Linked DNA regions of Daphnia pulex. The protein of the gene in region 1 binds, or shares a complex with, the protein of each later gene. Links are inferred from orthologs where the notes say so. Each region holds a gene or a part of one and is shown in the gene's direction. Other genes may lie near its edges.

What was found.
Region 2: the proteins of uncharacterized protein LOC124198601 (region 1) and protein aveugle-like are in contact, whole or in part, in a crystal structure (PDB 8BW8), measured with the Drosophila melanogaster proteins. The link is inferred for Daphnia pulex from reciprocal best matches to the Drosophila melanogaster genes cnk and ave. Residues at the interface, in NP_001286524.1 of Drosophila melanogaster: Pro47, Glu51, Leu56, Arg57, Ile58, Gly59, His60, Gln61, Glu62, Leu65, Glu66, Glu69, Lys110, Ile111, Asp112, Thr113, Leu116, His117, Ile119, Thr120, Arg121, Ile123, Lys127, Val130, Glu134, Arg139, Arg145, Cys148, Gly149, Leu152; in NP_725413.1 of Drosophila melanogaster: Tyr24, Gln51, His52, Asp53, Ile54, Arg57, Ala58, Arg61, Ile62, Thr63, Ser66, Arg69, Met70, Glu79, Trp82, Arg83, Val86, Lys87, Arg89, Leu90, Lys91, Asp93, Ile94, Glu96, Ile97, Arg98, Met100, Glu101, Leu103, Asn104.
Region 3: the proteins of uncharacterized protein LOC124198601 (region 1) and dual specificity mitogen-activated protein kinase kinase 1-like are in contact, whole or in part, in a cryo-EM structure (PDB 8BW9), measured with the Drosophila melanogaster proteins. The link is inferred for Daphnia pulex from reciprocal best matches to the Drosophila melanogaster genes cnk and Dsor1. Residues at the interface, in NP_001286524.1 of Drosophila melanogaster: Arg46, Tyr48, Arg72, Tyr76, Thr92, Lys95, Asn96, Arg99, Arg103, His117, Arg121; in NP_511098.1 of Drosophila melanogaster: Arg200, Gln255, His258, Gln262, Tyr319, Val321, Asn322, Glu323, Pro324, Lys347, Gln348, Asp350, Glu351, Arg352, Ala353, Asp354, Lys356.

Annotation. Positions count from the first base shown.
Region 1 is NC_060023.1:3,779,416-3,783,722, reverse strand, and holds the start of uncharacterized protein LOC124198601, read left to right. Parts: upstream 1-1,363; 5' UTR 1,364-1,719; coding exon 1,720-1,741; intron 1,742-1,805; coding exon 1,806-1,847; intron 1,848-1,912; coding exon 1,913-2,076; intron 2,077-2,140; coding exon 2,141-2,337; intron 2,338-2,399; coding exon 2,400-2,514; intron 2,515-2,577; coding exon 2,578-2,769; intron 2,770-2,839; coding exon 2,840-3,240; intron 3,241-3,309; coding exon 3,310-3,586; intron 3,587-3,784; coding exon 3,785-4,307. Other genes in the region: cytochrome P450 302a1, mitochondrial-like, read right to left, coding at 1-57, 128-365, 572-797.
Region 2 is NC_060021.1:9,511,813-9,514,513, forward strand, and holds protein aveugle-like, read left to right. Parts: upstream 1-1,454; 5' UTR 1,455-1,531; coding exon 1,532-1,597; intron 1,598-1,667; coding exon 1,668-1,781; intron 1,782-1,848; coding exon 1,849-2,022; 3' UTR 2,023-2,184; downstream 2,185-2,701. Other genes in the region: cadherin-87A-like, read right to left, coding at 255-294; spermine oxidase-like, read right to left, coding at 2,497-2,701. UniProt on the Drosophila melanogaster protein: Required for normal photoreceptor differentiation between Ras and Raf for EGFR signaling in the eye and for mitogen-activated protein kinase phosphorylation. Probably acts together with Cnk to promote Raf activation, perhaps by recruiting an activating kinase.
Region 3 is NC_060027.1:2,195,092-2,199,307, forward strand, and holds dual specificity mitogen-activated protein kinase kinase 1-like, read left to right. Parts: upstream 1-1,404; 5' UTR 1,405-1,650; coding exon 1,651-1,817; intron 1,818-1,872; coding exon 1,873-2,107; intron 2,108-2,177; coding exon 2,178-2,290; intron 2,291-2,348; coding exon 2,349-2,460; intron 2,461-2,528; coding exon 2,529-2,705; intron 2,706-2,779; coding exon 2,780-2,978; intron 2,979-3,019; coding exon of another isoform or gene 3,020-3,041; coding exon 3,042-3,226; intron 3,227-3,292; coding exon 3,293-3,400; 3' UTR 3,401-4,147; downstream 4,148-4,216. Other genes in the region: 60S ribosomal protein L17-like, read right to left, coding at 34-237, 417-554, 735-869, 938-1,018. UniProt on the Drosophila melanogaster protein: Required downstream of Raf in the sevenless (sev), torso (tor), and Drosophila EGF receptor homolog (DER) signal transduction pathways.

The DNA of each region.
Region 1 (4,307 bases):
ATCATATTTATTGGACGTTGAAGGGCTTGTCGTAAGCGGTACCATTCGGGTCCATTCCTGTTAATAAAAAAAAGAAACTAAAAATGAACTGCAATATTGTTTTGAATGACAAGGAAATTCATTTTACGTTGGAAGCAGACCCCCACTATTGTAGATGTGGGGTCTTTGGAGTCTATAGAATTCGAGAGCCGTATGACTTCGTCGTGATGGATAACGACCCTCCACCTGGTGCATCCGCTCAATGTCCTCCGGCCGATAAAGCAATAAAAGATTTACGCCAGGTAAAATTTCCTCTCGTACGATAGGGCCGAATTGCAGATACTTTTTCAATCCAGTAACATGCAGTTGGTCAAATGAATACTGTCCTGACCGTCAGAACCGCATATTAATTCAATCATTATTTCCTAGTGTGTACGCATTAGTATACGTAATTAAATTGAATGAACTATAATAGCACGGTAATGACATCCACCCAAATTCGAACAATAATATTTTCATTTTCTTTATTAATTCAAAAGATTTCATGTATTTTGTATTCATACTACAACTTCATACAATTTTCTCGTCTCACCTATGGCGTAACGCCAGATGTTTCCAACAACTGGAAGCGGTTTAGGACCCGGTATTGAACCAAAAGGTTTCATTTCCTTAGTCGAATCGGAAGTTGGGAATTGATGCGGACAGTTGTGGATGCATGTTGTTTGGTTAAAATAGTAAACTTGTTTGTCAACACATTTTTGCCCGCCGCAAAGTCGACTTGGAAGACATAGAGTCCAGGGTATTTGCTTAGAAAACATTTTAAATTTATCAATAACAGTTGAAATAGTTGTGACACTCTGAGAAAACTGACAAGTCTAGTCTGGAATACTTTCTATTCTGTGACAGGAAAACAGATCCATTGCCTTCTGTCAAATTTCCAAGGTCGTTCAATGGGGAGGGTCATCTGCGGACTAATACGCCTTCAAGCAATTGGCAACACAGCTGAACGGCAAAAGTTCATTCAAAATGATTAAATACTCTGTTGAATGTTGATAAGTAAACAATTCATTTTGATACCTTGAGACTTAATCGAATTATTTTATTTGGCGACAATAAACACGGGGAATGTAACAACACAATATAAATCGTAAAGCACTGATGAAGGACAGTTGTGATGACGACTGTGCTTGCACAAATTGATTTGATTTATTTCATTTATCTACTAAGCTAGTGTGAATTTTTGAATTGGAAATCCTTATCTTAAATTTCTAATCATTCCAAGTTAACCCTATCTTTTCCATAACAAGTTAACAACAACGGCTTCCAGCTTCCTCTGACCAGCCACTAGGACTAGGGAAAGCTGCTTCGCCAGCCAATCTATATGCTTGTCCCGGCTGTCTATAAGAGTGTCGCAGTGTTTACTGGTTTCTAGTACCCAGCGCCATTTTTATGCGGTGAGCAACAGCAAAAATGGTCACTGACTCATCGCTGCTGTAGTCTGCAAACGAAAAGAAGAAGCCAAAGCCCTAGGAGATGAATTGTGTGTGTTGATATGATTTCTTCATTTTAATTGATGCGTTTGAAATTATTCAGTTTTACTCAGTACAATGTCTTAGATGTAGCTGTAGGGCTAAACAATTCACCAAGGAACTAGATTAAACTTTGTCCTTCATGCAGTTGTTGTCATAGTGATACTTGATGATTAATTACTCCTTCATCAAAACACAACTTAAGTGAAAAATGACAGCCTATTATGTCAATGGTAATTATAAGTGAATGTTTTTTTATGTGAGGCCTACTGCCATAATTCTCTTTAATTAAAACAGTTGCCGAATGGAGTCCTGAACAGGTTGCTGACTGGATGCGAGGTATGATACAGTCTTATTACCATGTACAAGGCCATTCTAGATCGCAGCATCTTAAATTTTTACAGGCTTGGATGATACACTTGTTCCGTACATACACTTCATGCTCAAACAGGAAATCAATGGCCATAGACTCCTCTCCACGACAGTTGAAGATTTGCCTGTATTTCATATAGACAAACTTGGCCACCAAGAAATCTTCATGGGAGCAGTTGATCTTTTGAGAGATTTTGTAAGATGGACTTTAATCAAATAGTAGTTGATAAACATTTTCTATATTCATGTATTTGCATTAGCACTACAACTTAGATCGAGAAAATCTTCAGTATTTGGCCATGCAATTGGGCTGCAAAGCTAGAAGCCTTTACAATGAGCTAAGAATTATTTATCAGTCATTTGATAATGGGAAAACTGAGCAAGTGACAACTGCAACTCTTGCTGCAGTAGCTGATATCATAGATCAAGTTAAAGATCTGTTATCCTGGCTTGATCGGTGAGCATTTATATCTTTACTTTTAGTTTGCTTTCACCATTTAAATTTTTTCTGACATTTAGGACACCTTTTGACGGCCATGAACCATATTTAGAAGTTAAGGGCAATTTGCTTAAAATATGCCTTGAACTTGCCACAAATGCACAAAGGGATTTGTTTGCTGAACACCCAGTTCAGGTAGAAAACATTCAATAAAATTTCCTCATTGATGTTTAATGGAGCACTATGTCTGATAACTAGGTTATTCGAGAAGGCTGCATCTCTTTAGTCGGAATTACCGATAGAATTATCTGCGAATTTCTGGATCCTTTGGTATTACAACCAGCCTCTCTAGATGTGGCCACTATAAAGAAGAAACCAGAAGAAGATGTCGTGGTTATTAGTTCTCATTCAATTTCTAATAGTTTCGATGGAATTGATCTGTGGTTACAGGTGATTTCTTGAAAAGAAAGATTTATTTGAACAATTTGTGTTCTAATGTTTACAATTTTTATTCTTGCAGGGCATGCTTATTCAGACATCGTATAAAGGCGTTCATGTTATTGGGGCTGTTAAATTTCAAAGTCCAGCCCATCAATGTGGGAAAATAGAAGTAGGTGATGAAGTGGTACAAGTCAACTACCAAACAGTTGTTGGTTGGCAGCAGAAAAAGCTAAAAGCTGCTATGTTGGAGAATCCGGCTAAAGTGATCCTGACCCTTAAAAAGCGGCCTCGTCATTCGAACAATTTTGGACAAATCTACGTGAAGCCTTACAGGCTGCCAAGTAAGAAACGAGAGTCCTACCACTTTCGATGGCATCTAGGTGGTGACGGTCAAACCAAACCGGAGCTTACTTCTTCTTCCAAGGCCATCGACTCGATGTCTATTAGTTCTGTTCCAGTTGTGCATATTGCCCCACCAGTGTAAGCATTATTATTCTTTTATCTAGTTCTGCTTAGTTGACTTAACTGAATCATGTATTTCGTGAACAGAATGGCTGAGGTGACGGCTGCTGAACTCCCCTCAGAAGTGGAGAGCGACGATACTGACGACGACAGTTTCTTGCCAGATAATCACGATCCCGTCGCGGCCGCCGCTGCAGCTGCAGCAGTTGCTGCTGCCACGGGTTCGGATGCAGTGGGAGGCGCAACCGCTTCACCCGCTAGTGTCCGTCTCATTTTGCCGAAGAATAGATTGAGTATTCAGCGAAGGGCGACAGTAACGGGCGCAAGTCCTACTTCATCCCGCCCTGCTCTCAATATCGAGCAGGTAAATTTAAAACATGACACATCTAGTCTTTTTATCTTATCATAAGTCACCTTTATCATTAAACCTTCTACATTTTTTAATGCTTCCTTTACAACAGCAGGAATAAGGACGGTAAAGATGTAGATTTTTTGTGAAAGTTTTGATTTTTGTAGTTTTTGAAAATTGCTTGCTGAATTTTTTTATTTTTTTTTCCCCCAGTTTTGGAAAGAGTTGAAAGAAGGTCAGCAAAGTAAATCACCAGAGCTGCTCGACCTTCTTCGTCAACAGCAACAGCAGCCCGAGCAACGACCACACAGCAGTGTCGGCCACTACGACGGCCAAATTCGTCGACCACACATGAAAGAATCAAATATCAGTCGACAGTCAGAAACTTCTGCGTCCGATAAATCAGAGCTGCTGTTATTGCGAGAAAAGGAGAAGGTCAATGTTATTTCTTCAATGTTGATAGCCGACAAAATCAGTGAGGAACCGAGTGACCTATGTGTAGGGATCGACCAGTTTCAAAAAGACAACAAACAATGTGATGAAAATGAAGTAGAAATTCGGTCGCCGTCGAGAAAAGTATCCCAGGATCGACCGAGATTGGATAAGAGTCAAAGTACACCGACTTACGAATCAGTGTCAGGTGATATGACTTCTTTCGAAGAAAAGCTGCGCGATATCCGTCTTCGCAAACAAATCCGAGAAGAAGAAGCGCCTAATCCCATTTCAGAAAGTTTAA
Region 2 (2,701 bases), on another chromosome or scaffold:
AAAGTTCAAACTGGCTTCTTCTTTATTCTCATTAAAAAGAAAAAGGAAGAATCGGTTGCTTTCTAATGAGATGTAAAAGAAAATCTTGGAGGATTCAAACAACTTGTGTGTAGGATTGGACAGAGAGTGATTGGCATTTCACGAAAGTAAACAGGTTGTTTCTCGACCCAAGTCTCGGAAAGACACATTTTCTTGAGGTTAAGTTCCACCAGAATCAACACAACGGAATCTAGAAAATGGCTATATTTTCTTACCTGAACAAATGGTAACAATCCACACCAATGACTGGAACATGGCGGAGTTTATATCCTTTTCTTTTCTTGAAGAAAGAGGGCCACTATTGCTGGATTAGACTATACGAAATGGACTCGGCTGCCATGGGGCGAAGAACGGCATTCGGGGTTAAAAATCGATTTGCTTGTCCGTTTGGTCAGCGTGAATGATGTCGTTGTCGTCGTGCTCAGTTTGTTTTTTTTGGCTTGTTTATTTGGAAGATGGCCTTGAGACCTTGAACTCACGAGGTCCCCCAGCCGCTAATAAAATGGAAGCTGTGTTGTCGAGACCTTGAAAGAAGAGGTAAAAAGAAGACGCACAACACACAAAAGTTATTATTACAGCCAACATAACACCGACTAAAGAACGTCATCATTTCCTACTTCTCACAAGCATGCTTATATAAGGCAACAAATGCTTCCAATTGCCGTCTCGACACTCTTCCGCTCTACGTGCCAACTTTTTTAAGAAAGGGAGAATGAACCTAGACGAAACTCACCGGCACTTTAGCAGCATCCACATTCAATTCTTGTGGCCCTTGAACCTCGAGTCATCTTGCTGACCACTTGAAACCACCTTATTTCCTCCTTTTTTTAAAGTCAGTAAACTTGATCACTATTTTGATTGAATCAGTAGAAATCCTGGTAAATTGGGGTTGAAAGGGCAACGAATCTCTTCTTGGTGACACTTGGAAATCACTATATCTTTTCGTTATCTTTTGAAATTCTTCTGCCAGCTCAAAGTATCCAACTTGCTCAGAAGACGCCAGACTAAGAAATGATTCGTCGTCTGGTGCAACTTTACCTGAGGCGCTTTACCTGAAAACTAGTAGAAAAGGGAAAGAAAAAAACAACATTAAACACATCCCTCGTTCGCTTGCCCCCCGAGGCAGTTAAGATAGATCAGCAGAACTTGAAAGTATTTGTGTAAAGAATAAGAAGTTTTTCAACTTTGATGATAGCCAATGGCCACATTTGTTTATTGATCTACTTTATTCTCAGAGACAGAGAAAAAGCCATCTACTAGTATTTTTATTCACGCATAATTTATAAGAAGAAGACCTCAGGTTATTATCACGAGGAACAGCGACGAAACGAAGAAATGGCTTGGGGAAGAAGTAATGAAATAAGACCTTGAATTGGTCGTCGACTCGGTGTTTTCTTTTCAAGGTAATCGTCTCAGCCGACAACGTCGCATTTTATGTCAACAACAAAAAGATAAACATAAATTTTTCTGCAACATTTTAGTTTGCGTTTTGATGCCATCTATAATGAAAGATATGAATACCAGCGGTGATAATCTTAATCCGACCAACAAACCTAAGGTACTTAACTTTCACTTTTTATTAATTATTATTTATTTATTTTTTTCATAAGTTTTTTTGTTAAATGCAGCCCAAAGCGACGCGACCCAAGCCAGTTTACTTATGGACCACATCTGATGTTCAAAAATGGTTTCGACGTCATTGCAGCGATTTTTACACAGTGTACAGTGACTTGATGATTCAGGTAGTTTGTTTTTATTACCATTTTTACACTGACAAATGAATTTGGCATAATTCTGTATACCCTGCAGCACGGTATATGTGGAAGAGCATTGTTAAGAATGAATGACATTTCCCTCGAGAGGCTTGGCATTCACAATGCAGATCACAGAGAAGAAATCTGGCGTCAAATTACAAAACTTCGACTGAAAGCAGACATTTTAGAAATGAAAGATATGGAAAGGCGTTCTGATCTTAACAACTAATTGTCCATAACTCCATTGAACAATCAACCAATTGTGTTCCACTCTTCACTGTAACAGTTGCTGTGTTATTTAGGTTTTATTTTGAATGCCAACTGATCTGGTCTGTGTATCTCTCGACTGATGGTATATAGTTTGTTTCTAATAAATGTAAATAATTTTGAACGTGTTCATTCTAATTAATTCAAGTTCTCTTTTACAGTTGCAGCCTTGTTAGATTTGAAGCTGATAAATGCTGACTGTTTAACTTAGATATTTCCAAGGAAAGAAATGATTTCTTAAATTTTTTTAAACTGTAAACTATGAAAATCAGTTTACAATCAGAAACTCTATTTGACCTTTAGAATGGTTGATTTATTTAAGGAACTCAACACTAAGTATTGAAGTTAATTAGAACAAGTTCATTGTCATACCTGGCATGAAACCTCATTATTTCGCATTACCTAACAACGAAGTCATGCGAAAATGCCATACCCACTACAGTTTGGCGGTAAAGTTTGTTTCCTTTACATGTTCTACGATTCTGTCAGCCTCACGCCAACCAGTCTCAACCGCTGCGTGTACGGTCGAGTAACGGTGGTCGTGGGTTGCCTCACCGGCAAAGAACAATCGAGCAGAACCGTTTGAATCGATGACCGGTTCGGCCAGATCCGATGGACAAACATCAAATTCTACACTTTTT
Region 3 (4,216 bases), on another chromosome or scaffold:
ACAAAGGGTTAACAAAGTGTTTACAGGAAAAGTTTATTCCCTCTGGGACAACTTTTGGCGAGCCAACTTCTTCTTTGAAACCTTCTTTTTGTTGGTAACTTCCTCCTCCTTGACTTTGGAAACAATGTCTTCCTTCTCAGCCAGGATGACTTCCATGTGGCAAGGGCTGCTCATGTATGGGTTGATTCTTCCGTGAGCACGGTATGTTCGCCGACGCATGTATGGAGCACGGTTAATCTGTAAAACAGAGAAGTAATTTTAGACAACTCCTCTTTAAACTTGAAAATGAATTGACAATTCAATTTAAGTCAGATCCGTCTTGAAACATTGCAATCTGTCAGCTAGTAGTCTAGAATGCTTAGGGTTATAATCACACTATTTTGAAAAAAACTTTACACTATGATTCACTCCTGTACCTGAATGTGATCGATGACCAAGTGATCAACATCTAGACCCTTGAGGTCAGCATTGGACTCAGCATTCTTCAACAACTGCAGAAGGAACTCTGCAGACTTCTTGGGCCAACGTCCCTGGGTGGTACCCCATTGTTTAGCCTGCAAAGCAAAACATAGAGATTAGACTCCAAATAGTGGAAAGGCAACACGTTGAATCTTTCTTTAATGTCAGATCCGTCTTGAAACATTGCAATCTGTCAGCACTTTGTCTAGAATGCTTGGAGTTATAATCACACAATTTGGTCAATTTAATTCATACAAAAGAAATGAGCTACTAACCTGAGCACACCGGCCGACACCTCCGTTGTAACGACGGAATGGAACACACTCCTTATGCTGGATGACGTTCTTGAGGAAAGCAACAGCCCTCTTCAATGGCATACGCTTAATGGTGTTGGCAGCCTCCCTCGTGTTCTATTCAATCAAATTCAAGTCGTACGTTAAGAAACTTTCACAAGCGCGAGTATATGTTAAAACAATACCTTGAAGTGAACGCGGAGGTTGGAGCCCCTAGCCTTGCATGACTTGGTCGGGTTGTCCGGTTCACGCGAATATCGACCCATTTCTACACAAAATTGAACAGTTTAATGTAACACACGATAAAAACGTAATTTAATGGATCAACAAAGAACCACGACAAGTTAAAGATGTTTTAAATATCTTTGGATAACAGAAAGAGAACTCTCGTTGACTTACTTCAGAAGTGTTTGAGGGTACAAGAGAAACACCGAACCAAGAAAGAGGACTAAGGTTAACTCCTCTCTCTGCCAATAGGTGGATTCCGCTTCCATAGGGTGCGTTCTTAAATTTTCGTGAATATAATCAATTTTACAATTTTTAAAATTATTGTCGCAATTGTGAAATGTAAATATATTTATTATTTTTCAAAATAAAATAAATGTCAGTTTGCAAATATAATGGAAATGTGTGTTGAAATATTAAAAATTGCAACTACGGATTGTCCGAGGGTTGACTCTTGTCAAAACTTTTTCGCTGAACAATTTTGCAATTCTGATCTGTTGATATAGCCAGCCTACTTGTTTATTCGTGTTTGAGTTCCGCCAATAAGTTTTCTTTTGATGCATTTTTTTATATAGAGAAGGAACTGGAAGAACTTTTACTGTCATCATAAGCTGAGCGAGTTCATTTTAGTTGTAAAGCTTACGAATTTCATACATCGGAAACGAAAGGCAAAATGTCAAAAAACAAATTCAATTTAACTCTTCCTCCTGTGGAACCAGACCCAGTCTCCACCCCCAGTCCTGGAGAAACATCAGGAAGGAGTAATAACATAGCAGCAGCTATTAACTCTGCCAAATCAATGACACAGACCAGTAGTGTAGTTATACATTCTGGAATTGAGTAAGTTCACTATAAACACCAAGTTGTCATCCTCAATGATGTACATTTTTCACAGTAGCGGAAATACAACCATGGGAAATACAACATTAGAGGCTTTGCAAAAACAGCTGGAGGAACTTGATATTGATGAACTTCAACGACAGAGATTGCACAAGTTTCTCTCACAAAAGCAAGAAGTTGGTGAACTGACAGATGATGATTTTGATAAGCTTGGTGAACTAGGTGCCGGAAATGGGGGTGTAGTCACCAAAGTCAGACATCGTCCTTCTGGATTGATCATGGCCAGAAAGGTAATACCAACAGCAGAAAAAATTTAAGTGGTTTTTTTTTAACACAGATGTTTTATTTATGTTTCCCTAGTTGATACATCTTGAAGTGAAACCTGCCATTAAGAAGCAAATAATTAGAGAGCTAAAGGTGCTTCATGAGTGCAATTCACCTCATATTGTTGGGTTCTATGGAGCATTCTACAGGTACCTAATTTAAAACTTTCCCAAATGCATTTGTTAACTTTGGTTTAATTTTTTGTAGTGATGGTGAAATAAGTATTTGCATGGAATACATGGATGGAGGATCATTAGACTTGATCCTGAAAAAAGCGGGTCGTATTCCAGAACAATATCTAGGGAAGATAACAATTGCTGTAAGATGATCTAAAATTAATACTTAATCTATTAAAGGGTTCGAAATAAGAAAAGCTTTTTTGCTTAGGTTTTGAAAGGGTTGAGTTATCTTCGAGACAAACATCAAATTATACATCGCGATGTTAAACCAAGCAACATTCTGGTCAACAGTCGAGGAGAGATCAAAATTTGTGACTTTGGAGTGTCTGGTCAGCTTATTGACTCCATGGCTAACTCATTTGTAGGAACGAGAAGTTACATGTCGGTACGTCGTCTTTAAATAAGTTTAGAAAAGTCATTTTCACTTCGAAATACCATTAAAATGTATTTTTCTGCTAGCCGGAACGATTACAAGGAACACACTATTCGATTCAGAGTGATGTCTGGTCTCTTGGGCTGTCGTTAGTTGAAATGGCCATTGGCATGTACCCTATCCCCCCACCTGATCCACAGGTATTGGCCAACATTTTTGGTGCAAAATTCAGCGAAGATCCTGAGAACATGACTCCGTCTCCTAGCAGTCGATCGCCTCGACAAAGTAATAATCCATTGTTTTTCGCATTTCTTTCAAATGCTTAGAGATCCGTTCTTGAAACCGCAGGCCAATTTCCTGGAGGAGTCGGCAATGGCCCTAGGCCGATGGCGATATTTGAGCTTTTGGATTACATTGTCAATGAACCACCTCCCAAACTACCGTCCGGCGTTTTCTCTGTGGAATTCAAAGATTTTGTCGATCGGTGTCTCAAGAAAAATCCGGCTGAACGACCCGCTCTACGTACACTAATGGTCTGTTCCACAATTTTTTTTTTGTTTTTTTCTGATGTAGTTATTAAATCATTATTCTGTTCTTAGGGTCACGAATGGGTAAAAAAATGGACCTCTGAAAACGTGGAGATAGCTGGTTGGGTATGCAAGATCATCGATTTACAGCCTTCCACACCCACTAAACATCCCGAATAAATTTGTTTATTTTTTTTCTCTCCATCTGATAAACTTTAACAACTTTATTGTTAAAAGAAAGTCCATTTTTTTCTTCTTGTGCTTTTTCTAACTAAAAAAATCTTGGAAGATTACATTGGCGTTCACACACTATCCATCCAACAGTAGCACCCCAAGTCCTTGGGCTGGAAAATCTTCTGTTTCGTTTCGAGGATTCTATTTACTTGTCTACTCATCCGCCCAATTTACCACAGGGTAAGTGGATGTATTGTTTGTTTTGTTTCTTCTTTTCCAAATTTTCAGTCATAGAATTTCTGTGCGCTGCTGTGACATACGACGCGATCATACGCACAAAGTCGATCCAGCATTCTTCCAATGTGTATCTACTCTTTGTTTTCCCCGCCACACTCCAATCTTTTTGTCAAACCGTGAAGCTGCATAGTTAACAATCAAGATGAATTTTTCATCTTTGGTGTCAAGGCTTTGGAAAGAAAAGATGAGGAGGTTGGAATTTTCTTGTTGACGATTTTGGAGCGTTGTGGACTCACCCAAAACGAACATTCCAAGTTATCCTCCTATTCTTTCTTTTTCTACAATCTTCCTGGCCCGCGCCGTTTATTAGTTGCAATTTCTTTCTTTATTCTATTTCCCATCCCTTCTTTTAATGTATAGAAGAGAAGAAAAAAAAATCTGTGTCAACTCGTGGAAGAAATTGTCGCCATTGTGTGTGCTGTTGGACTCGGCAGAGTAAAGATGGTCCAGAGCTAATTGTTTAGTTTTTTTTTGTTTTTCTTTTCTTTGCTTTGAAACGAAGAATGAATGCACAGAATTACGTGT